Ovis aries: one gene and its partners. The protein of the gene in region 2 binds, or shares a complex with, the protein of the main gene of each other region. Links are inferred from orthologs where the notes say so. Each region holds a gene or a part of one and is shown on either strand. Other genes may lie near its edges. The genes, in order: KHNYN, NEDD8, UBE2M, NAE1, UBA3 and PRKN.

Region 1 (3,135 bases), about 210 kb from region 2:
GAGGCCTTCCACTCCGCTTCCTTCATTTCCAGTCCTGCCATTACCACCTGCACTACTTGGACAATGCAACTGAGGTACCACTGCATAGCCTCCTGATAAGGCGGTCTCCTGCCCCCAGCCATTTACCACCCTCCAGCCTCTCCTCCCCTGATAGAACATGCTCTTCCCCTACACAAGTCTTCCAAACTTGCCCTTCCCAGGCTTGGCAGCTAAGGCCTAGCAACTAGCTCCAAGCCACTCTTACTGCCTTATCTCTCCCCATCCTCCCTAATGCACTCATAGCTCCTGCCAAAAACCAACGATCAGATTTCACCTTGTTCTTCAAACATGCCCTGCACTGTCCGACTTTCATGTTTCTCAAACTGTTCCCTTTATTCCCTCCATCTGGAAGGAAACCAGACCTCACTGATAGGATCACAAGGGGAACGTCAAAAAAAAAAAAGATGCCTGGGCCCCATTTTAATAATTCTGATTCCACAGGAGTGGGGTAGAACTCATGAGATAAGTCTTTTAACAGGTTTAGAAACCAAGAGATCCAGTGCATCCGATATCCTTGTCAATCAACAAAAACTCTCAAATCCTTCCTTTCCCACAAGACCCCAGCCAGAAGGGAGATCCCTTTCCTCTCAGTTCTGTAGTGTTTGATTTATAGTTTCTTTGGGCTTTTTGAAGTCATGAATGCAGTCTTCCCTGATTCCTGCCTCCTTCGGCAGCCCAGACACCTAGGACCCCACAGGCAGTCAGTATCTGAAAAACAGTGTGGTATAGCCTTGGTCATTTAGTCGTGTCCAACTCTTTGTGACCCCATGGACTGTAGCCCGCCACACTCCTCTGTCAATGGGATTCTCCCATCAAGAATACTAGAGTGGGTAGCCATTCTCTTCTCCAGGGGATCTTCCTGACCCAGGAATGGAACTCGGGTCTCCTGCACTTCAGGTGGTTCTTTACTGTCTGACCACCAGGGAAGCCCTAGTGTGGTATATAGGGGACCATTAACCAGCATTCAGTATGACAGATGTCTGCTTCTGAGCTTCTATCTGGGAAACAAAGAGATGACATTATAAATATATAGGGTACCATATAATACACAAAAGGTATTTTCAAATTAAGGATAACTGTACTATTACCACATGAGATCGTATGTTGTTCTCCAGTATTCAGTAGGTCTGTGCTACATGCCACTGTAACTAGGCAAAATACAAAATTTATATTGTGCCTCTGCCTGTCAGGACCTACACAACTGTGCAGACACGTGCCTTCAAAATTTATTACAAGTGACAACCTTCAGTTTTAATTGTGTCAATATGGCATGTAAAGAAGGTTCTGTATTTCGGATAACCTGTGAAATCTAGGCCTAAAACAGAACTGCACTGGGAGAACATGAATTGTCTTTTTGTAGAATACCATTTACCTGTTAGGGAGTAAAAGCTAAGTATTTGAAAAAACAAAATATATAATCAGTACAGCTTGGGAACTCTTTTTTAATTTAAAATTCAGAATCCTGGAGAATAAAGAACTTATCACTGTAATTTTTTCAAATGGGTTAGTTAGCTTTTAAAATCCACCCATGGGATGTCCCTGGCGGTCCGGTGGTTAAGAATACACCATCTAATGCAGGGATTGAGGGTTCAGTCCCTGGTTGGGGGAACTAAGACCCCACCTGACACAACAAAGATCCAATGCAGCCAAAGGGAGGGAAAAAAGCCTATTGAAAAATAAGAATAATAAGATCCACCTGTCTCCCACACTCTGTACACCAGGGAGGAAATGTGTCTTGTGTTCTTCAATTAAACCATCTAGCAGCTTTAAGTTCTCGTTTTTCCTTTGCCACGTCATAGCCTTTGCCAAGAGAACTAACTACTCCAACCCTCTGTCTGTCTCCATTTCTGTACAATGGAGATAAGACGCCCTGCCACACTTGATTGAGTCCCTGAAAAACTAACGAATATCACTGTCTTCCGGCAGAGCACCTTGAGTGAGGCAAGCACATACCTTAGCTTCTTTTGACATTCACAAGGAGGATGAATGAATGGAAGAGGAACTTAAGACAAAGAGGTTAATCCACTAAGAGAATCTACAATAACTATGCAACTTGAGGCTCAAATTCAGACCTTCAAATTCTAAGACCATTGATCTTTCACTTATCTTTTTTTAAATACCATGTTTTGTACAGCCGTATTATGCATGGAATCCATGCTTTATTTATCATTATTTGGATCATTTACTCTGGTTTTCCCAGAAGGTTGGAGAATTTCTCTATGTGTTTGGACATCTAGGTTGTAAGAGGCATTTGTCAGCTAGCTATTCGTACCACCAGCTTTCCCATGTTTCCATTAAAACAGTGTTTTCTAGATGGTAAGGCACTATTAATATAAATACGAAGCATCCTTTAGTTTGATCAGTAAAAAAGTGAAGGATGAAACAGAGTTGTTCACCCTCCATCTCATCCTGTCTGCAGGGCAGCTTCACCTCCCCAGACATAGGGGCACACGGAGAAGCGGCCCTTTTCCCATGACTCAAGTCTTAGTGTGAAGGGGCCAGAGCTTCTGTCTCCCCCTCAGTCTCCCACCAGGCTCCCTGAATGTCAAGTCTGTGGACAAGGGAGAAGCAAGTACCTGTCATCATAGGAGGAGATCCTCTTGCCATCTAAGACCCGGGAGGGTGTGAGGGAGAGCAGGCTGAGGGAATACAGCTTGTGCAGGAAGTGACCCTCTAGAGAAACAGAGACGCACAATGGGGTTATCCCTGAGGTGAACTCAGGGCCCATCCCCAGACACAAGAGACCAGGTCCAACTCACCTCTGACCTTGGAGTCCTTACTGAAACGCCACTGAGGCACAAAGACAGTTATGTCGCGGTGGCCTCGGTCCCAGAAGTACTGCACGGCAATGGCAATGCCCCGGCTGGAGAAGTAGTGCTGGAGGCCGTGCCTGCAGTGGGAAGGGGTCAGCACTCAAGGGCCCTCGAGTGGAGACCTGGCAGCCTGGCTGCATTGCCCTCCGCTTGGCACACGTCCCCAGGGTGAACACAACTGCCCACCTCTACCTCATCCCCTCCCTGGGACCCTCAGCCCCACCAGGTACTCACACCATGGCCACGTTGCTGCCATCGATGACGATATGGCGGAGGTCTGGCT
Region 2 (2,923 bases):
ACTCACTCTCCTGGTTTCTAACACCTACATCAATAGTATGCTGAAAGATATTTAACAACCAGTTTGGGGGGAAGGACTGATTTGTATTGTCAATTTCTGTAAATACTCTGACCGTGGCCAATTTCAAGCTACCAACATGAAGTCAGTTAATATGGGGCTGGGAAAGATGCCAGCGATTAACTCTGGCACAAGTAACAGTTGGCTCTGGCACACTCCTGAGTATATACACTTACAGTTTGAGAATTCCTCCAAGGGTGCATTCCTGTCCATTGTCACAGTCCTTCAGCCTGGTGTAACTGGGTGTGCACCGGGTCCGTTCTGGGTTTTTTTTTACCACACCCAAAACTAAGATCCGACTGGTTCTGTGGGATCTTAGTTCCCCAACCAGGGCCTGAACTCTAGCCCTTAGCAGTGAAAGCACGGAATCCTAACCACTGAACCACTGGGGAATTCCCTGGGTCCACTTTGATTTCAGTCACATTTGTGCAATAGAAGAAAGATTCCAGGAGGTCAAGAAATATTTTATTGAGAACCAGGGACACAGCCATAAGAGAGCGAAGCACACAGGACTGCAAACTAAAACCCAGTAGCCAGCAAGGGCCCTCTGGGCCAGGAACACTGCCTCCTGGGGTCCTCACAGTCTCCCACCAGCAGACACACAAGACTGGGCAGCCAGGGGAGCGGGGAGTGGTTCTGGTGTCCCACAGAGGGAGAGGATATACGATGCCTCATTATGAGTGACAGGGCAGGGAGGTCAAGCGGAGCGGAGTCCATCACTGCCTAAGACCACCCCCTCCTCTCAGAGCCAACACCAGGTGGAGGACTGAGCCACCTAGTATCTTGTAGTCAGCTGCCGTCTTCTCATCATTCCTACAGGAAGAGGCAAAAACAGGAAAACAAGTTGTTAGCAACACCCTTTAGAGTGGCACTCTTGACCTGGGTTTCATGGATCTCTGGAGATCTATGAGTGCATATGAGAAAATAAATTACATCTTTTATGTTTTTACTAACCCCCAACTGTAACTTGATATTTCTTTCAATTTTGAACACAGACAAAAGCCCACAGAGGAATTAGCAATATAGGTAACCTGTTAACAAGAGAAATTAGAGATATTTTCAGACTTCCCTGGTGGCTCAGTGGCAGAGAATCAACCTGCCAGTGCAGGAGACAGAGGTTCAATCCCTGATCTGGAAAGATCCCACATGCTGAGAAGCAGCTAAACCCATGTACCACAGCTGTTGAGCCTGTGCCCTAGATCCCGGGAGCTGAGACTACTGAAGCCCACACGCCCTGCAGCTGGTGCTCTGCAACAAGAGAAGTCACGGCATTGAGAACCCCACGCGCTTCAACTAGAGCAAAGCCAGCGCCGCAAAGACCTAGCATAGCCAAAAAAAAAAATCCCATCACCATACCTTCATTTCCATTCCATACTTACATCTGTTTACCACTGTAGATGAGCCGCTGCTGCTGTGGTGGAATCCCCTCTTTCTCCTCCACACGCTCCTTAATTCGTTCCACCTTTAGGGGTACAAGTAGTCAGGGGCTGCTCAGGGGGAGGGACCATGGAAGTGGAAAGAACAAGAGCTATGCAGATCGCATGAGAGCAAAAGGACTAATTTCATCAGCATACCCAGGCAAAGGCACATGTAGGGAGATAGGCTTGGAGAGGTACTGGGCATACACTACCTTGTCCGTGGGTTCAATGTCAATCTCAATCTCCTTTCCGGTCAGCGTCTGAAATAGGCAAGGCTTTCATAAGTCTTATAGTTCAGTATACAATTTGTCTCCTAGGTAAAACATCCTGGCCTAGCCTTGGGGGATTGACTCCCTCCTGAGAAATGCACATTCTCAGCAAAGTTGATTTGAAGTGTCAGGAGTATTTGCTCAGACCCAATTTCAGACATTTTTAGGCTGTGAACAACTTTGACAGGGGAAGAGTCTGTAAACCATTTGACCTCTTAATCTCACAGGTCATCTCATTCCCCACCCAATTAGAATCCATGAGAATACTATAACTCCTTTGGATAAGACAGCAATGAGAGTTGACCTAAGGAGAGTATTCCTTTGAAAAGGACCTTGTTTTATGTACTAATGCTAGAAATTAACACTCAGATAATTCAAAGCATTCTCAAGGACACTAGAGATCACCTCTGACCAGCTTTTTAAGCAATACTAGAACTCAACATTCTATTCTCCTGTATCTTCTCCAGATTTTCACCTGAATCCTAAAATTGCAGCTCTGGTCTTCTTGACTTATTCCATAGGCTAAGGGTTGCTGATACCCAAAACACAACCATACACTTACAAATGCTGTGCTTCATCCAATCTTATCTCCCATCCATTCTTGCTCTTAAAGCGCCACCTGCATCAGTCTACAGTAATCTAGACTACAAATGGACAGTCTAATTTAGGGACATTTTCTTTGCTTCTACTGTTTTCCTTGTTGCCATCCCCTCTTCCAATCTTTCTCAAACCTTCAAGGGACCCTTTAAGATTGATGACTTGTCACCAATGCACTTTATTTTTTTTTTAATTTTTTTTTTTTACCAATGCACTTTAATAGATATTACAGCTAGTTGTTTTAAGTGTCAAACTCTCCAATTTACACTCCAACTTCCTAAAGGACAGAGACTGTTCAATCTTCCCAGTCTAAGCACAAAGTATGGTGTTTGACATATAAGCAGTCGATAAATATTAATGGAAAGGCTAAATACACTGTTGGCTCAGACGGTAAAGCGTCTGCCTACAATGCGGGAGACCCAGGTTCAATCCCTGGGTCAGGAAGATCTCCTGGAGAAGGAAATGGCAACCCACTCCAGTATTCTTGCCCGGAAAATCCCATGGACGGAGGACCCTGGTAGGCCACAGTCCTTGGGGTCACAGAGAGTCAGACACGACTGAGCGACTTCACTCACTAAATAC
Region 3 (4,297 bases), on a different chromosome or scaffold from region 2:
ACCACCCCGCATGGAGCGCTGCACATTCTGCTCAAACAGCCTCCGGTTGTTCTGCAGGACCTCGGCGGCTTCCTTGTTCAGTGGGTCTTCAGGGTTGGGCTCCTGTGGCCGGTATGGGAGGGGCAGGAGGTCAACAAGCCCAGAAGTCAGAGGGCCAACCTCCCCCAGCTGCCCTCCCACCCCCACCCCTACTCACCAAGAAGAGATACTGCAAGCCATAAATTATGGAGTTTATCGTAAGGACTGGCTTCCAGTCCTCTCTGTGGGCAGAGAGCATCATGATAGGGGCTGGTGAGCGGGCAGCCACCACAGGCCCTGCTGGGACCAGACAGGTCAGGCCCAGGGCATGGGACAGCACGATCGGGAAATGCTAGCGGGAGGGTGCAGAGAAGCACAGGCCAGAAAGCCAAGGTCAAGCCATGAGGAAGAAAACGCAGAGCTGAAGAGACAGAGGGACACACAGACCACAAGGGGAAGGGAAGGGAAAGAGACTGGTATAGTGCAAGGTCATGAAGGGGGCCTGGCAGGCAGGGCTGGGCAGCGTAGTGGAGGGCCAGTGCCCTCACCTGAGGATGTTGAGGCAGACGTTGCCCTCGAGGTCAATGTTGGGGTGATAAACCATCGTCTCACACTTCACCTTGGGGGGGTCATGCGGGTAACCCTGGCCCACCTGGCTCCAGGAGAAGAGAGGGCAAGTGGATAGGTGCACAGCAGTGCCTGGCTGGGGCCTCAGCTGTTGCTTCCTCAGCCCAGGGAGCCACCCCTGCACACCTGAGACTCACCTTAAAACTGAACACAAACTTCCCGCTCTTGTAGAAGCCCTGTGAAGGAAGAGGAGAGGAGTCAGAACCCCACTCTGCAAGGCCCGGCAGGTGAACCAGCCAACTTGAGGTGGTGTCACCTGCCGTGCCTGAGAATCCAGTTAAGCGTGCCCTCACCTCATCAGGACAGATAACCAGCTTGAAGTTGAGGAGGTCGTCTGGATCTGAGAAACTGATGTCACACGTCTTGGGCAGATTCAGCTCGTTTATGTCTGGGTTTTCACAGCAGAGAAGGGAAACAGGCCAGGAAAGGGGGAGATAGGGGGTGCTCAGAGCAGGTGCCAGCAGAGCCTCCATAACCTCTACCCAGGACCCCAGTTCTGTCCTGGGCAGTGGGCCACCCCCTCCTCCCTCTCCCTGCTCCTTCTGCTCCGCGTCTCCAGGCAGGCTCTTCCGTATCTATGGAACACTGCAGATATGCTGGAACTCCTGGGGGGCAAGCTCTAACTCTTCTGAATCCAGTCGTAAGTCCCCCAGCCCAGCTCCTACATGTTCCCACTCCTGTGTGTCCCACCCCAAATCCAGCATCCTGACCGCGACCTCCGCTTTCTAGAGGAGTCTCTACTTGTCTGCGCAGATGCAAGGATCTTATTTCCCTTCCTCACCCTAAATCACCACCCCCCCCAGTCCCTGGCCCCCACTGTCCATACACTCCTCTCTGCTTGTCGTCCTAAACTCAGGATCCCATCTGACCTCCAGATCTGTGAGTTCCCAAGCCTCCTACCCTATACTATTCTGAGCATAAGAGTTCCAGCATCTCTAGCAGGATGGTCTAAACCCAACCCTACTCCTATCTCTATAATCCCTGGTACCCAGCATCCCTCCCTCCTCCTGTCACCCCAAACTGACATGTGACTCACCCAGACCCACGACACCCAGGCCCCAGAACCCACTTCACCAGGTCTGACTCTGATTCCCAGTGACTCTAGCGTTAATACACTAAATCTCCCACCCCGATCCTCAATCCTCGGCCCCACTGTCCCTATCTCCTCTTCCTGTCGCCCAGGTTCCCATCTGACCCCCCGACTCTCGAGTTCCCGGTCTCCCTCTTCCGCTGCCACCCTCAGATTCTCGGTCCCTAGTATCAGACTCCTAGCTTTCCGAACACGCTCAGTGCCCCCTGCTCGGCCCCCCTACCTCCGACCACTTTGGTGATTATATTACCCCATCCCCGGCCCCTCGGCCCCCAGGCCCTGGTCTCCGATCCCCACATCCGCGGCCTCCCCGTTTCTGACACCTTTGACCCCTGGCAGCCGCATTACTCCACACCTGACTCCCGTATCACCCGGAGCCAGGCTCTGACCTCCGACCTCCACTCCCATCCCCCGACTCCCCTTACCCTTCTGGATCCGCAGCTGCGCCGCCGACGCCTTCTTGCTGCTGCCCTTGGTGCCGCCCGCCGACTCCTCCTCCTTCTTCTGCTGCTTCAGCGAGAACAGCTTGATCATCCTGCCGCCGCCGCCGCTGCCGCCGCTGCGGGGCCCGGGACCCCGGCCACCCGGCCCCCCGCCGCCGCCCGCGCCGCCTCCGCCACTCGGACCCGCCGCCGCGGCCTCTCCGGCTGCTGCCGCCGCCCGCCGGGCCTGCCGCGCTGCTCCGCGCCCACCGCGCGGCCCGCGTCGGCTCCCGTAGTCGGCTCTGGCCTGGCCCGGCGCCTCGGGCCCGCTCGGCGGCGTTCGGGCCCGCTCGGCTGTTCTCGGGCTTACTCGGCCCCGCCCCCACCCGCCGCTCCCTCCTCCCGGCCGTCCGCTCCGGCGTCCTCAGGCTCGGCTGCGGACGCGGGGTCCTCAAGCCGTGTCCCTGGGCCTGGTCACTCGCTCTCTTCGCGAGGGCTCTGCGGCTCGAGGCGGAAGGGGGAGGCGGGGGCTGCGATGGCCGTGCACTAGACAGGAGGGCCGGCTTCCGTGGCAGCAGCGGCTTCGGCGCGGAGGTCCGCAACGGCCTCGGGCGCCCCACCGCTTCGGCTATTTCCGTCGCCTGCCCGCTTCGGCTCTTCCCGCCCGGCCTGCGCTGTGCGCTTGCGCAGCCGCTGCCACCGCCCCACGTTGCTCCGCGCTGGGACTTGGGGATCGGGCTCCTTCGGCTTGGTTCGGGTATTTCCGTTCGTGCGGGCCGGGCCGGTCACTTCCGGGGACGCCCGCGAGTCCAGGGAGGAGGGGGATGGCGGTGTCGCCGCCATATTTAAGTGGGGCAGATGCAGGCCGCCTCACTTGCGGGCCGCCATGCCCACTCGCAGTTGTGCGGACGGCGGCATAGACGGGCCAAACAAGGGGCTTGACCCCAGGGGCCACAGACGGAGGCAGGGTTAGAGTCAGAGCCTGAGCAAGGCCAGGAGCGTGGCCTAGAGTGCATGACTCAGAACCTTCGGGGTCCCATCTCAGGCTCAGAGAACCCGCCTGCAGAGTTTGGTTGAGGTAAACTAGCAAATAAAACGTGTCAGAGGATAGTATAACACTGTGGAGGTTTACACGGGCTCACACGCTTGGGGGCAGCCCTCCGCACGGGTCTAGAGTTTGCCCGCAGGCGACCCCCGGCCTTCCGCCATCTCCGTCCGCGAGGTGGGCGGAGCCAGCCTCCCCTCCAATCACAGCTCAGCGTGCGTTGGAAGGCGCGAGCAGGCGGCGCGGAGCGGTTCTGCGACTTCAGGCTGTCACCGAGGACTCCGTCAGGCGGTGAGCGGCGCCACGAGGGCTGGTCGGGGCGGGGGGCCGGGCCCGGGGGGCGGCCGGGGCTCTGCCCCTGAGCCTTCCCGCGACCGAATGAGGCTCCTGCCGCACGACCCACCCCGTCGCTGAGGCGGCGTGCCGCCGTCTTCTGGAGCACAGTGGGAGTAGTCCGGCGGCCCAGTTGGGCCCGCGCTAGTGGTGGGCCATGGCCTCCTCTTGGCTACCCCGGCCCGATCCTCACCCCAGAAAGTAACCTCCACCTTTTCGGGCCGTGATTTGGCGTCCCTGCCGACCCCAGCCTCCTCTCGGGTACCCTCGGCGTCCTTGGGCTCCGTGGTCTCATATCCTAGTCGTGGCTGTTGCAGCCGTTCCCTTTTTCTCCCGCTTGCATTCTCTTTCCTCCATTCCAGAAGCCCCCCTTCAACCCTCTGGTCGTCCTCGCCCCAGACTGCCGGCTTCGTTGATTTCCTTGAGAGCTGTGTGCTGGAGAGGTGCTGGGGTGAGGCTAAGCGATTGGAAGCTGCAGAAAACCTCAGGTTTGGGGCGGATGAGATCGCAACCATCCTAGTGTTCTCAGGCTTCAGGCATGACTGTTCCTGGGACGCGGAGGCCTCTTTCAAACTCAGTTTTCCTTTTTGTTCTTCTCATCCGCTCTACTCTTGGTGATTATTTTTGTACGGCACGTGAGGGTTGATGACCATCCTGCAGTTTCCAACCAAAGTCTCAGGGATGGTTTTTATTGGCCAGCCTGGTTCATGTGTCCATCCTCAGGCCAGTTAATGAGACCCTTCAGCTAAGGTCCCATCTCGG
Region 4 (4,279 bases), on a different chromosome or scaffold from region 2:
ACTGTCAAACCATGCCCCTTACTCAGTTCCCATCCCAGGGTGGGTTGGGGTGGAGATCTGTGCTCACTTTCACCTTATTTGAGGTAATCATTAACCTGAAGATGCCTGTAGTGTCTGTGAAATAGGAAGGAATCCTCATGTCCCCCTAGTCCCCTCTCTCCCCACCTTTCTCATGGAGTAGCCCCATTCCTTGGCAGCCATCCCCATAGGGATGGTTCTTTTTAGGAAGTGCAGAGCTTTAAATTCCTCCTTGATTTTATGTTCTCAGTCTTCACAACCTGGCTCCTACCACCTCTGAAACTTTCTCTGACCACTCCTTGTTGTTGCTCAGTTGCTAAGTCATGTCCAACTCTTTTGCAACTCCGTGGTCTGTAGCCCCGCCAAGCTCCTCTGTCCATGGGGTTTCCCAGGCAAGGATGCTGGAATGGGTTGCCATTTCCTTCTCCAGGGGATCTTCTTGACCCAGGGGTCGAACCCGGACCTCCTGCATTGGCTGGTGGATTCTTCACCACTGAACCACCTGGGTGACCACTCCCTACCCTTCACCTAACTCTGCTAAGTAGCTTCAGTCGCGTCCGACTCTGTGCAACCCCAGAGACGGCAGCCCACCAGGCTCCCCCATCCCTAGGATTCTCCAGGCAAGAACACTGGAGTGGGTTGCCATTTCCCTCTCCATTTCCTTCACCTAACTCTACATCACACCAAACTTCCTTTAGTGCCTCAGCCTGTCATGCCTTATCTGCCTCCCGGGGATGACATCTGCTGTTCTTTCTGCTTAAAACACTCTATCTTGCCCACTTGGTGTGAACATTCCTGGAAGAGGGGAAGTAAGTAGAGTTCCTCTGCTCACCTCTCAGGTCCTCAACTTCCCTCTACCTATAGGAGGGTCATATTGTCTAAGGAGTACTCCTTCACTGTCTCTCTCTTCTTGGGACAGTGAACTCCCCAAGAACCGAGTCCCGGACTTATTCCTCTTTGCATCTGCAGCCAGGAGCAGCTAGCTTTGTGGTTGGAAACAGACGCTCACTGTGGGCTTCTTGCCTGAGAGGATGGAAGAAATGGGTGAATAATAATGCACATAATAATGAAAGTTCTTCCGACAGGATTTTTTTTGTGAGTCCTGTGTGTTCAAAATCTCACTTAAGGTTAACAGAACAGGATTTGAGAGGTAAAGAGCGTAAACCAGTGAGTGGTGAAAATCGAAATCTGCCTGATTCCAAAGCCCAAGTTCCCCACAACTACCGAGCGTACAAAGTCACGGATTGGTCGACCAGAAGGACTGCTGCACGGGTAAGGCGCGACTACCTTACCGGTGGTCACCAGACCCGTTTCTGAGGTTTGGCCGCAGACTCCCAGGTGTACAGGTGACGCGTGCGCAGTGCAGTGGAGGCGCCCCCTGCCGGCCGCGCGCGGGAGACGGCGCGGCAAAGGGGCGCTCAGTGCGCCTGCGCGCTCGAGGAGGCGGTGGCAGTTTTCGGTAGTGGCCCGGCGGTTCTCCGTGGGGCGGGCGCGGCCATGGCGCAGCCGGGGAAGCTGCTAAAGGAGCAGAAGTACGACCGGCAGCTGAGGTGAGCCAGGGCTCACCGATTCGGGCGGGCCAGCGGGTTCCTCTGCGTCCGGGCCGGGCCTAAGCGAGCGGGCGGCGCGGTTGGGCCTCTCTCGGGCCTCCCGCTGGGCTGGGCCGGGCCGTGCGTCCAGTGCCCAGGGTTCCGGCCTGGGGCCCCGGTGCTTCTCGAGGGCCGGCACTCGCCTTCCCCGAGGGGCGCGCCCGCCCGCTCGCCACGCGGTGTGCAGGTCGAGGTGCACCGCCCCCAGCGTCCGCCGGGTCACCGCGGCGGCTGCCGGTTCCGCCTCGCTGTGCTCCTGGTTTTGCAGAGTGAGGGGCTCGGGACTACCCCATCTCGGCCGCCGAGGGCAGCACCGAATGTTAGATATTGTTGTAAACAGGCGCTGTCCAGTAGAAATATAATGCCAGTCTCATATGAACCACATACGTAGTTATATATATGTGTATATATAACACATGTATATATGTGTATATGTAACATAATATTTATATTTGTAGTCACATTAAAAAGGACAAAGAAACAGGTGAAAATAATTTTAATAATTCAGTTTATTTTGTTTAACCCAGTATGTGCAAAATATTACTATTTCAACGCATAATCAGTATAAAAAGTTATTAGAGATATTTTACAATTTTTTCATTCTGTCCTCAGAATCCAACATTTTACACTTTTGGCGCCTCTCAAATTGGACTAGCCTTATTTTTAGTGCCCAGGAGCCACATGTGGCTAATGGACTAATGGATATCTACTTAATGGACTGTAGGTCTAAGTCATCCGGCTAGTCCTTAACTTCTTCCTCTCCCATGCCTTGTCTCCTAACACTCCCCATTCCTTATTTATTGAGCATTTTCTATGTGGTTAAAGGGCTTCCATGGTGTCTCAGCCGTAAAACATTCACCTGCAATGCAGGAGACCATCTACAATGCAGGAGACGTGGGTTTCATCCCTGCATTGGGAAGATCCCCTGGAGAAGGAAATGACAACCCACTCCAGTATTCTTGCCTGGGAAATCCCATGGACAGAGGATCCTGGCGGGCTGTTGTCTCTGGGGTCACAAAAGAGTCGGACATGACTTACAGACTAAACCACCACCAAAGGCAGCAGAAATAGCGCAACTATATGGCCTCTCTCCTTTCTGAAGACCCACAAGCCAGAAGTTACAGTATGTCCCTAAGGACCGGAACTCGCTTGCACCTCTGGCTTAGTGCTGTTGTTAGGGGCTTTATGCACTCAATTGTGAGAGCAGTCTTGAAGGCAGATATTCTGTCTCCTTTATAGATGGAAAAACTGACTCTTTAAAGTTTGATAACCTGCCCTGAGTATCCCATGTGTTTGAACCAGTATGTAAACTCAAGCCTTCTGGCTTTTCCAGAGCTGATAAGGTCTGCTCCCTGGGGAAAGGGAAAGGAAAGTTTCTGGGGAAAGAAGCAAGATGGTAGAGACTTTGTAACCAACTTGTGTTCTCTTGTAAATTCTTGGAGATCCTTGTGTTTTGAAGCAGAGGTAACCATACATGACAGAGCTGATAAAATATTTTAGATTACTAAGTACCTGTGACAAAAGAGAGTTTTTGCTAAATCGAGTCCATTTAAGGAACAAACAGTGAAAACTGTTTATTGGTTTTGAAGTGTCAGAGGGAAGCAGTTACAAGCAAGATTGTGCCACCAGCTAGCAGTCAGCAGGCCCTGCCTTCCTTAGCCAGCAAGAGAATGGAGAGGATTGATTTTTGTTTGGGCCATTTCTTGAAACGTATTACCTAGAGATGCACCAATAATCTCTTAGGCTCTTTCTCCAGCTACCCAAGTATCCATCAACCAGATATGCCAAGTGTTTTCTGTGTGCCCTACTTTCGTAGGAAAAAAACAGAGGTTTCCAGTCTGTCTGGTTCTTCTAGACTCATCCTCCATGCATTTGACAACTATTCAATGATTATTTATCCTGGACAAGGCACTGTATCAAGCACTGGGGCTTCAGTGGTGAACGTAGGGAGTGGTCTGTGCCCTTATGGAACTTAGAGTGGAATGGAGAGATGGATGTTCAGCAAATAAAACACCAGATGAGGCAGTTACAGTTGTGATTTACTCTGGAGGACGTACAGGCTACATCATAGGAGAGGATATGCTTTAGACAACGGACAGGAAGCAGCTTAAAGTCTCTGTCCTCCAGGTTATGACATTTTTCTAATGATTTGGGCTTCCCCTGTGTTAAGAAAAGACACATTAGGCTTTCTGGGCAAAGGTTGCCATGTTAGCCCAGCTGTCATGATGCCTGTTTGATCACATATCTTGCCCTGTTAATGATATGCTGGTGTGACAAGATGTAACATATTTCAGGTTATAACACATTTCTAATCCTTATTACATCTTTCTGTTTGTTAATGTATGCATTTATGAGTCATGCTGTTAGAATTGGGAATAACATTTTAAAGCACTCCTGTAGAAGTCAGTGTGAAGGCTTTTCAGATGGTACTTCAGTTTTCTTGGTAAAGCTTTTCTCACTCTTGAACGTGTCATGGTGGATCAGTATTATGTCAAGATCTTAAATTACACTGGATCCCTGTAATTTAAGGAGAAATAAAATAGAGGATGCATGTCTGCTTAGTTGCTTCAGTTGTGTCCGACTCTTTGCAACCCTGTGGACTGTAACCCTCCAGGCTCCTCTGTCCATGGCATTCTCCAGGCAAGAATACTGGAGTGGGTTGCCATGTACTC
Region 5 (4,045 bases), on a different chromosome or scaffold from region 2:
TGTGATGCTCACTGCCATTAATGGAAGGTCTCCTAAAAGCATTGCTGGAGACCCAGCACACATGAGCCTGTTTTGAGAAAGAAGGGTTTAACCTTAGTAGTTTCCACCTGTAAAGGAGTTTGGGGGAAAAAAAAAAAGTTTTTGGGTTGATGTTGAGACATGTGACGTGGAGAGGGGCTGGCGTCTGTCTCCTGCTGTGGGACTGCGGGCTGTGAACTCTGTCCCTCCATTGACTGTCTGGCACTGACTTTCAGCTCAATGAATGTTATTGAATTAAATTTGATTGGGGGATAATAAAGAACAGAGAGGAAATTAAATATAATTTATTAGCAGCTACATTAACTGAGTGCTAACCAGGCTTTATGCTTTCCATTTCAGCAATTCTCAAGCTTTATTTTGCACAGAATCATCCTGGGTTTAGTGAAGGTTGCAGGTAGGGCCTGAAAATTTGCATTTGTAACAAGTTCCCTAATGATGCTGATGTGGCTGATCAGGGACTATATTTTGAAAACACAATAGATTTCATTTAATTTCAGTCTTACAAGGTGAACATTATCATCCTCAGTTTACAAATGAAGACACAGTAGTGCCCAAAGTCTCACAGTTAATAGGTGGAGAGTTAAGGATTTAAATAAACTGTCCTTTCTGACTCACAATCTCATTCGTGTCCTGCTCCAAGAAAGGATATATGTATGTATGTGTATGTATATATGTGTGTGTGTGTTTTACTTGTTTTGAACATGATTGTTTCTCTTTATCCAGCCATTCAGACACATAGGAACTCAGGTGCGTGTGTGTGCAGACACATAGACACACACACACCCCTATGTATCTACCTATATGTCTGCAGCTCTATCTCTGACTCTGGAAAATAGTGCAAAGTTCTATCACCGTTTATTTTTAGGTGATGAGATGCTTTGCATATATACATAAATCATATAAACAAATAACATTTGTTATTTGTATAAATTGTAATTTATAGAATTTATATATATTCATAAATAAGCTACAGATGAGGTTGTATTTTCACACAAGATTATACATTGGGTAAGACTTCTCTAAGTGTATTTAATCATGACTTTAATTACAAAGAAGCCTTTAAACCCACGGGAGCCTCTCACAACCAGCCCCAGCAGCCCCGCCTCCTCCCCGCAGTCCCCGCCCCTCTTCACCGGCCCCTCATGGCCGGTCCCGCCCCGCCCCGCCCCTTCGCTCCTCCCACCGTGGGGGTGCATGGGAAGAGGCGGAGAACAATATGGCGGATGGCGAGGAGCCGTAAGTACCCGGGCTCTGCAGGCGCCCCGGGCCGGGCTGGGTTGTGAGAGAGCGCGGCGGTGGGCGGTCGCCGCCTCCACCCGGGGTCCTCCCACCCTCCGCCCCGTCCCCTCGCCCCCCATCCCCTCGCGGCGCCCAATGTGTAGCGTGATGCTGACCCTTCTTTTATTCTCTCTTTCTTTTAGGGAGAAGAAAAGAAGGAGAATAGAGGAGCTGCTGGCTGAGAAGTTAGTGCTGCCGGGAGGCCGGGGCCCTCTCCGGGGGCCCCCGCCTCCCTTCACCCCAGGCCTAGGGGACCAGCCGCAGCGGGCCCGGGGGGCTGGGAGGGGGGGCACCCGGAGCGCAGGCCGCGCGGCCTCATCCCCCGACCCCCACCCGCAGCCCCAGGGGCCCGGCGGGCCCTCCCGGTCTCTGTCTCGGGCGGGCGCTGGGCCCGGGTACCGCGCTCAGGTTCCGCGCCGGCCCGCCGGGGTGCCTGACCGAAAGGTCTTGCGGAAGGACCCTTGCGCCCCTCTTCCTCCATCCCAGATTGTCAGAGCCGAGACTTTGTCAGAAGGGAGTCTTACCAAAACACATGAAACGGACGATGGGCCTTTTTTTGGCCTTTCGGAAACACGGAGACAATAGTATTAATTGCAAACTTTTGATGAGAACTTTAAGTCTGGTATCGTACTAAGCACTTCAGTCATTTTTTGCAAAATCATTGGCTCTGAAAGGAGAGTGTTGCCTCCAGAGAGCTTATGTTCTCCATGTATTACACACCTGATTTCATATCAGATGCCTAGTTTTGTGCTAGTGAGACAGGTTTAAACGAAGTGTGTTACACCCCGGGCAGCATCACCTATTTTTTCTTCCTCCTTACTTGGGACGGGAAGAAAGTGCTCTTACAGTGGGCGTGGTGAGTTAGTCATTTCTGTGGCAGTCCTCAGTAGCAGGGCCTTAGGTATCTCAGAAAGTTGAATTTCAATCGCGAGAGGACTTGGAACAAGTTAAGTTTCACATTTCTTCCCACCTTTCATTTCATTCCACTTTTGCTTAAAATGACAGCTACGATTTGAATGTTTACTATATACCACGTATTGTACTAAGGCCTCTATGTGGATTATCTCTATCATTCTGATGTTAAGTAGCTACAGACAAGCTACAGATCAGGTTTATGGCTGTCTAGTGATCTGCTGAAGGTCACAATGCTATTAATTGTGGAACCAAATCCAGCTGTGACGTCAAACCCTGTAATCTTTATTGCTAGGCAATACTTGGTCCGTTTTGTAAAAATTGGATATTACTAAATATGTTTGAAATTGTGGGATTGTAGGAAATTTGAAAATTAAAAATAGTTACAAGGAAACATGAGTCTTGCAAAGAATAGAAAACATGTTTTGTTAGTGGAGTCCCTCCTTACTGGATTGTATGTTCTAAAAGGTTTGTAGATGGTATTGCCTACCTGTGATGTAATTATAATCTAAAACTTTGATTGTGTTTAGTGGCAATAGAAGCCACCTTATAGTCCTAAGAGATTCTTTTTTGAAAATTAGGACCCCAGAGAAAAATATGATGTTTCTCTCATCAGAAATAAGTTATACTTTTCAAACTTGGAAATGACACATGAGTTATGTTAGATGTCAAGCATTAGGATTCTGGAAGTGGAGGGATTTTTTTGGTTTTTGTTTTTTCTTGTAGCTTATATTTTCTGTTCCAAGGCTGTTTATAGAATAGATTGGGCAGTTTGCAGTGTTCAGTAAGTTCCAAATGTTTAGAAAGCCCATTTCTCGCTGATAGATCAGTATCCCAAGTTTGATTTTAGGTTATTTTAGGAACCCAGAAACTTACTGATTATTTCCTCAATCTGTTCTTAACTTTATATAAACTATATAATAGCAAGAAAAGACAATAAAAGCATAAGCGTAACTACATTGAATTATTACCCTTTGTATTTGAGCAGATCTGGTGTGGTTACCTTTTCATTTGGGAAAACCATATTAGTTGTAGGTGTGGCTTTTTCATACTGATCTTTGCAGCTGAATTTACTGTGTTCTGTGCAGAATGGCTGTTGATGGTGGGTGTGGGGACACTGGAGACTGGGAAGGTCGCTGGAACCATGTAAAGAAGTTCCTCGAGCGATCTGGACCCTTCACACACCCTGATTTCGAACCGAGCACTGAAGTGAGAATTGTTTATTTTTAAATAACTCCTCTAATAGTTTTATGTTGCAAATATAATAAGATGCTTCCTTTTTAATTTACTCTTATAATAAAAATACTAATAGAGTTGTGTAAGTTATCTTGAAATAGTAAATAGAATATTTGCAACTGATTTTATTTGAATATTTGAGTTATTTTCACATTTTTCAAATGTAATATGTTAATTTTCAAGAGTAAAATGACTTCATAACCTCACTTAAAATTATGTTATACTTCATTTAAAATTCCAGTTTAAAATTACTTTTGAGACACACCGTTTTAATCCCTGCTATGAAAAATTTAACTTTCATAGAGATATAGATGTGCTTGCTTAAATTTTGAAGTTTATTTGAAGTGAGTATCTTTACTTAGAAATTAATATAATTAGTTTTGGAATTGAATATAATTAATTTATAAGTAATTACTTAGAATTCAATATAATTAATTGCCTGTTAAAAAGTATAAAAAGTATGTGACTGCAGTATCATAGAGGAATAGAATTTGAAACTAGTAGTGTCTGACTTAAAGCAAATGTTCAGCTAGAAGCAACTTTTTTTTATTATGGGATGGGAAATATTCCTTTACAGTAA
Region 6 (3,307 bases), on a different chromosome or scaffold from region 2:
CAACCAGGAATCTTCCCTGGTGGTCCACTTTGGTTTAAGAATCCACCTAGCAATGCAAGAGACACGGGTTGGATCCCCGGTCTGGGAAGACCCCACATGCCACGGAGCAACTAAATGTGTGTGCCGCGAGCCCTGAGCCCGTGCTCTGGAGCTCGGGAACTGCAGCTGCTGAACACATGTGCCGCAGCGACTGAAGCCCTTCGCCACAAAAGCCACAAAACCAGAAGCCTGCCCACTGCGAGGAAGAGCAGCCCTCCCTCGCCGCAGCTGGAGAAAGCCAGAGCGCAGCAACAATGACGCGCACTGCACAAAGGGAACTAAACAAGTCAATCTTTAGAAAGAAGACAAACCACCAGAACGAGTCAGGAGCTCGGGGTGGAGACCAGGATGGCCACGGGCGCACTCGGCAACCCTTTCCGGCCACGAGAGACACACCCTGGGCCACCCTCCCCTGCCTTCAGCGTTTATGGACAACGTACCCTCAAAGATGGACTCAGACGCTCTTTTGATTCTTTTATTGACAATTTGAGTATGACCTTAGACAATTGTTGCCGAGTATTTCCTTACACAACTTAGAAAAAAAATAAAGACTCTTCTGCGAAAACTTTCTTTTCTTTTGCTAGATTCAGATTTTTGTGACACCGTTCAGTGCTCAGACATGTTCATTTATAGTGGTTTGTGATTCAGCCTCATTCACAGTGGCTGTTTATCCTTTAACTTGTTTTAAGAATCAATTTATGCTATTTTGAAAAAGAAAAAAAGAAAAAAAAGAAGGCTACTATCAGGAAAAGAGCAGAGACCTAGAGCTTCTACTGCCAGAACAAGCGGGAGCAAACCTTGCTCAGCTTGGCACCCCCAACAAACCATGCAAATCGGGGAGCAGGCAATAACATCAGCATCATTAAACCTCAGACCCATGGAGGGTATGAAATGCTGGGAGCTCCCCACGACAGAGGGAGCCACCTAACTGTCCTGCGGGGTCAGAGTAAGGAGCCGCTGGGACCACTGGTAACGCGCAGGAGGGCCCCCAGTGGGTTCTAGGCTGAGCCCTGATGCCAGCCAACCGCAAGGGTGGCTCAAGCCCGGTGCCCTGCCTTTTTCTCACTCGAGACACCAGCTCTGCATCATCTCTGTGCTACCCATAGGGACCCTGACAGGAGCCAGCAGCCTTGGGGCCATGATGGGGAGGCTGGATCAACAGAGTGAAGCTGCGTGACTCCTTTCCCACTGACGGGGCTGTCTCCCACCAATCACGTTCCAGGTTCAGGACCTCCGCGGGAGGGAGCAGGGTGGGCAGTCCCTGGATGGACGCTTAGGGACAGGGGGCACAGGACATCTGCGGGAGCTTGCTGAGGTTTCCCCGCCCTCTCCCTCCAGCAAGGATTTCTGGTGCTCTCTCTACAAAGATGAGGCTGGCTACCGGTCTCCAAATCCATCCGAAAGAAGCCCTGCGCTCACAGGAGAGTCATCACACCCTCAGGGACTGTTACCACCTTCCCGAGAAGGTGGACCATGAGAACAAAAGGCAGCGGTGAGACTGTTCCACCCGCACACTGTGCCCTGGAGAGGGAGGCTGGTGGCATTCAGCGAAAATGCATCTCTCTTTGATGTACTGCGAATGACGCATAAAACAAAGATGAAAACTTGATCAGCAATCCAATTCAAGCTGTGCTAACGTGAGGAAAAACTCTCCTGTGAGTTTACAATCGTAGAGAAAAGAACTCTGAGTAACCCACTGGGTGGGCAGAGCCCCCGTGCGGGTTGCCCTGAACCTGGTTAATTACACTTATGTTGTATTTTGATTCCACATCACAATTTGTCAGCAGTGACCCCCTTATCCTTTCTAGGCACTTTTGTTGTTGCAGTTTCCCTGTGCGTCTTATTGCTTTGACAACTGCAATTTGAATCAGATCTGAAAGAGATCCAGAAGAAAATATACTCTGATATGAAACAGTGTAATTAAAGTTGTCCAGGCAGATAGAAAGAGCATGACCCTTCCGATCTGCCTGGTTTCATTCTGACGGGCTGGAAAGGTTCCTTCCTTAGAGATTCTGCTTTAATAAACTGCGTGTTTATTAACACTGAGAATCATCACTGAACTGATTTCTAACAGTGTCTCCTTTAGAGGCCCCTTGTCACATGTACAGTGAAGCCAGACGTATGAGCTTATTTTTCACGCTCAAAATGAATGCTTAAAGTCAAATTCTAGATTTTGTAATGTTTTCAGAAAAACAACTTCTAAAGCTGCAGAGAGTTAAATGGAGTGAATGTTCAAATACATCCATTTTGAGCATTCAATGTTCAGATTAACTTTCATAATTTCTCACTTAGTTGACAAGCTGATTCATGCAGAGTTGATGTTTCATTAATGCAAGATATAAATATAGAATTCTTGGGGATAAACACATAGTTTTGACTACTGCCTGTGGCTCTTTGGGAACACATGCTTCCTGAAGATTTAAATAAGTCCGTTGCTATTTAAGCCGGGCATGAAGTTCTCAGAATCCACTGCAGTCTTACAAAGAACCACAGGTAATAGTCCCTCAAAATCATTCCCCACCCCACCAAAGGCTTCTTCCCAGTATTTGCTGAAGGTAAAAGGCAGGTAATTGAGAAATCCGTCTTTATGTACTTATCCAGTCTGACTCGAATTCAATCAAGAATGACAGCGCACACAGACGGGGAACGGCACCGTCCTCTGTGCTCTGACTGTGAGTGCATTTTCGGGGCTTGAGAATACTTCCGGCGGGACTCATCACTGGCTTCGCTGTTTCTCAGGGGCCCGGAGACGGGGATCCTGGGAGCTTCTCCGATAACCTTGCTTTGGTGGTTTTGGAAAGAACTGGAAACGTGTGTGTGTGTGTGTGTGTGTGTGTGTGTGTGTGTGTGTGTGTGTGTGTGTGTGTGTGTGTATGTGTGTGTGTAGAGAGAGGAAAAAGCAGAAGATAGTAGGGCGCCGTGTACTTCCCAGCAGGATGGCGGCTGAGTGCGCCTGCGCGGCCGCTGTTCCAGCTACACGTCGAACCAGTGGTCCCCCATGCAGGCGCGGTTCCACTCGCAGCCGCAGTTCCAGCACCACTGGAGCTGGCACTGGGGCTGCGGGCACTTCATATGCATGCATCCTCCTGCGGGCAGAGAGGGGACACGGGTGAGCGCCTGGGCGACACTCCCACACCCGCCCGCGTGCCCACAGATGACTTCCCGTGCAATCACCGCAAGCAACGGAAGGGGCAGAGACTGAACATCTGACCTTCATGAAGAACGGAGTGAATAACCCATATGGGAAAAGAATCTGGAGCAGACGGGT

Evidence for each region.
Region 1: the proteins of NEDD8 (region 2) and KHNYN are in contact, whole or in part, in an NMR structure (PDB 2N7K), measured with the Homo sapiens proteins. The link is inferred for Ovis aries from reciprocal best matches to the Homo sapiens genes NEDD8 and KHNYN. Residues at the interface, in NP_006147.1 of Homo sapiens: Thr9, Lys11, Glu12, Ile13, Glu14, Glu32, Lys33, Glu34, Gly35, Arg74; in NP_001277186.1 of Homo sapiens: Gln649, Asp650, His651, Lys652, Asp654, Phe655, Gln658, Arg659.
Region 3: the proteins of NEDD8 (region 2) and UBE2M are in contact, whole or in part, in a crystal structure (PDB 2NVU), measured with the Homo sapiens proteins. The link is inferred for Ovis aries from reciprocal best matches to the Homo sapiens genes NEDD8 and UBE2M. Residues at the interface, in NP_006147.1 of Homo sapiens: Leu8, Thr9, Gly10, Lys11, Glu34; in NP_003960.1 of Homo sapiens: Asn42, Val122, Ser127, Tyr130, Gly131, Gln133, Tyr134.
Region 4: the proteins of NEDD8 (region 2) and NAE1 are in contact, whole or in part, in a crystal structure (PDB 3DBL), measured with the Homo sapiens proteins. The link is inferred for Ovis aries from reciprocal best matches to the Homo sapiens genes NEDD8 and NAE1. Residues at the interface, in NP_006147.1 of Homo sapiens: Leu8, Thr9, Glu28, Arg29, Glu31, Glu32, Lys33, Glu34, Gly35, Ile36, Pro37, Gln40; in NP_003896.1 of Homo sapiens: Asp177, Asn178, Ala179, Leu180, Tyr237, Lys240, Arg244, Asn273, Thr274.
Region 5: the proteins of NEDD8 (region 2) and UBA3 are in contact, whole or in part, in a crystal structure (PDB 3DBR), measured with the Homo sapiens proteins. The link is inferred for Ovis aries from reciprocal best matches to the Homo sapiens genes NEDD8 and UBA3. Residues at the interface, in NP_006147.1 of Homo sapiens: Lys6, Thr7, Leu8, Thr9, Gly10, Gln39, Gln40, Arg42, Ile44, Ser46, Gly47, Lys48, Gln49, His68, Val70, Leu71, Leu73, Arg74, Gly75, Gly76; in NP_003959.3 of Homo sapiens: Gly78, Gly79, Leu80, Gly165, Leu166, Asp167, Ser168, Ile169, Arg172, Asp200, Gly202, Thr203, Glu204, Lys207, Gly208, Asn209, Ile221, Cys223, Thr224, Glu226, Leu227, Tyr228, Pro229, Pro230, Ile310, Asn317, Tyr342, Val344, Asn346, Asp349.
Region 6: the proteins of NEDD8 (region 2) and PRKN are in contact, whole or in part, in a crystal structure (PDB 8WZO), measured with the Homo sapiens proteins. The link is inferred for Ovis aries from reciprocal best matches to the Homo sapiens genes NEDD8 and PRKN. Residues at the interface, in NP_006147.1 of Homo sapiens: Lys6, Thr7, Leu8, Thr9, Lys11, Glu18, Glu34, Ile36, Arg42, Ile44, Tyr45, Ser46, Gly47, Lys48, Gln49, Tyr59, Lys60, Ile61, Leu62, Gly63, Gly64, Ser65, Val66, His68, Val70, Leu71, Ala72; in NP_004553.2 of Homo sapiens: Lys151, Arg170, Leu187, Thr222, Ser223, Val224, His279, Gln282, Leu283, Gly284, Tyr285, Glu300, Leu301, His302, Arg305, Tyr312, Asn313, Tyr315, Gln316, Gln317, Gly319, Ala320, Glu321, Cys323, Val324, Met327, Leu331, Cys337, Gly338, Ala339.

The regions. Positions count from the first base shown.
Region 1 is NC_056060.1:20,552,923-20,556,057, forward strand, and holds part of KHNYN (protein KHNYN), read right to left. Parts: coding exon 3,087-3,135; intron 2,930-3,086; coding exon 2,799-2,929; intron 2,713-2,798; coding exon 2,616-2,712; intron 1-2,615.
Region 2 is NC_056060.1:20,759,894-20,762,816, reverse strand, and holds the end of NEDD8 (NEDD8), read right to left. Parts: intron 1,736-2,923; coding exon 1,688-1,735; intron 1,520-1,687; coding exon 1,437-1,519; intron 871-1,436; coding exon 774-870; 3' UTR 501-773; downstream 1-500. UniProt on the Homo sapiens protein: Ubiquitin-like protein which plays an important role in cell cycle control and embryogenesis via its conjugation to a limited number of cellular proteins, such as cullins or p53/TP53.
Region 3 is NC_056067.1:66,428,870-66,433,166, forward strand, and holds the start of UBE2M (NEDD8-conjugating enzyme Ubc12), read right to left. Parts: upstream 2,801-4,297; 5' UTR 2,270-2,800; coding exon 2,161-2,269; intron 1,034-2,160; coding exon 939-1,033; intron 822-938; coding exon 783-821; intron 671-782; coding exon 567-670; intron 316-566; coding exon of another isoform or gene 261-315; coding exon 197-260; intron 103-196; coding exon 1-102.
Region 4 is NC_056067.1:34,109,976-34,114,254, reverse strand, and holds the start of NAE1 (NEDD8-activating enzyme E1 regulatory subunit), read left to right. Parts: upstream 1-1,479; 5' UTR 1,480-1,515; coding exon 1,516-1,568; intron 1,569-4,279. UniProt on the Homo sapiens protein: Regulatory subunit of the dimeric UBA3-NAE1 E1 enzyme. E1 activates NEDD8 by first adenylating its C-terminal glycine residue with ATP, thereafter linking this residue to the side chain of the catalytic cysteine, yielding a NEDD8-UBA3 thioester and free AMP.
Region 5 is NC_056072.1:32,550,179-32,554,223, forward strand, and holds the start of UBA3 (NEDD8-activating enzyme E1 catalytic subunit), read left to right. Parts: upstream 1-1,245; 5' UTR 1,246-1,255; coding exon 1,256-1,275; intron 1,276-1,460; coding exon 1,461-1,502; intron 1,503-1,747; exon of another isoform or gene 1,748-2,263; intron 2,264-3,317; coding exon 3,318-3,438; intron 3,439-4,045. UniProt on the Homo sapiens protein: Catalytic subunit of the dimeric UBA3-NAE1 E1 enzyme. E1 activates NEDD8 by first adenylating its C-terminal glycine residue with ATP, thereafter linking this residue to the side chain of the catalytic cysteine, yielding a NEDD8-UBA3 thioester and free AMP.
Region 6 is NC_056061.1:84,706,712-84,710,018, forward strand, and holds the end of PRKN (E3 ubiquitin-protein ligase parkin), read right to left. Parts: intron 3,126-3,307; coding exon 3,013-3,125; 3' UTR 501-3,012; downstream 1-500. UniProt on the Homo sapiens protein: Functions within a multiprotein E3 ubiquitin ligase complex, catalyzing the covalent attachment of ubiquitin moieties onto substrate proteins. Substrates include SYT11 and VDAC1.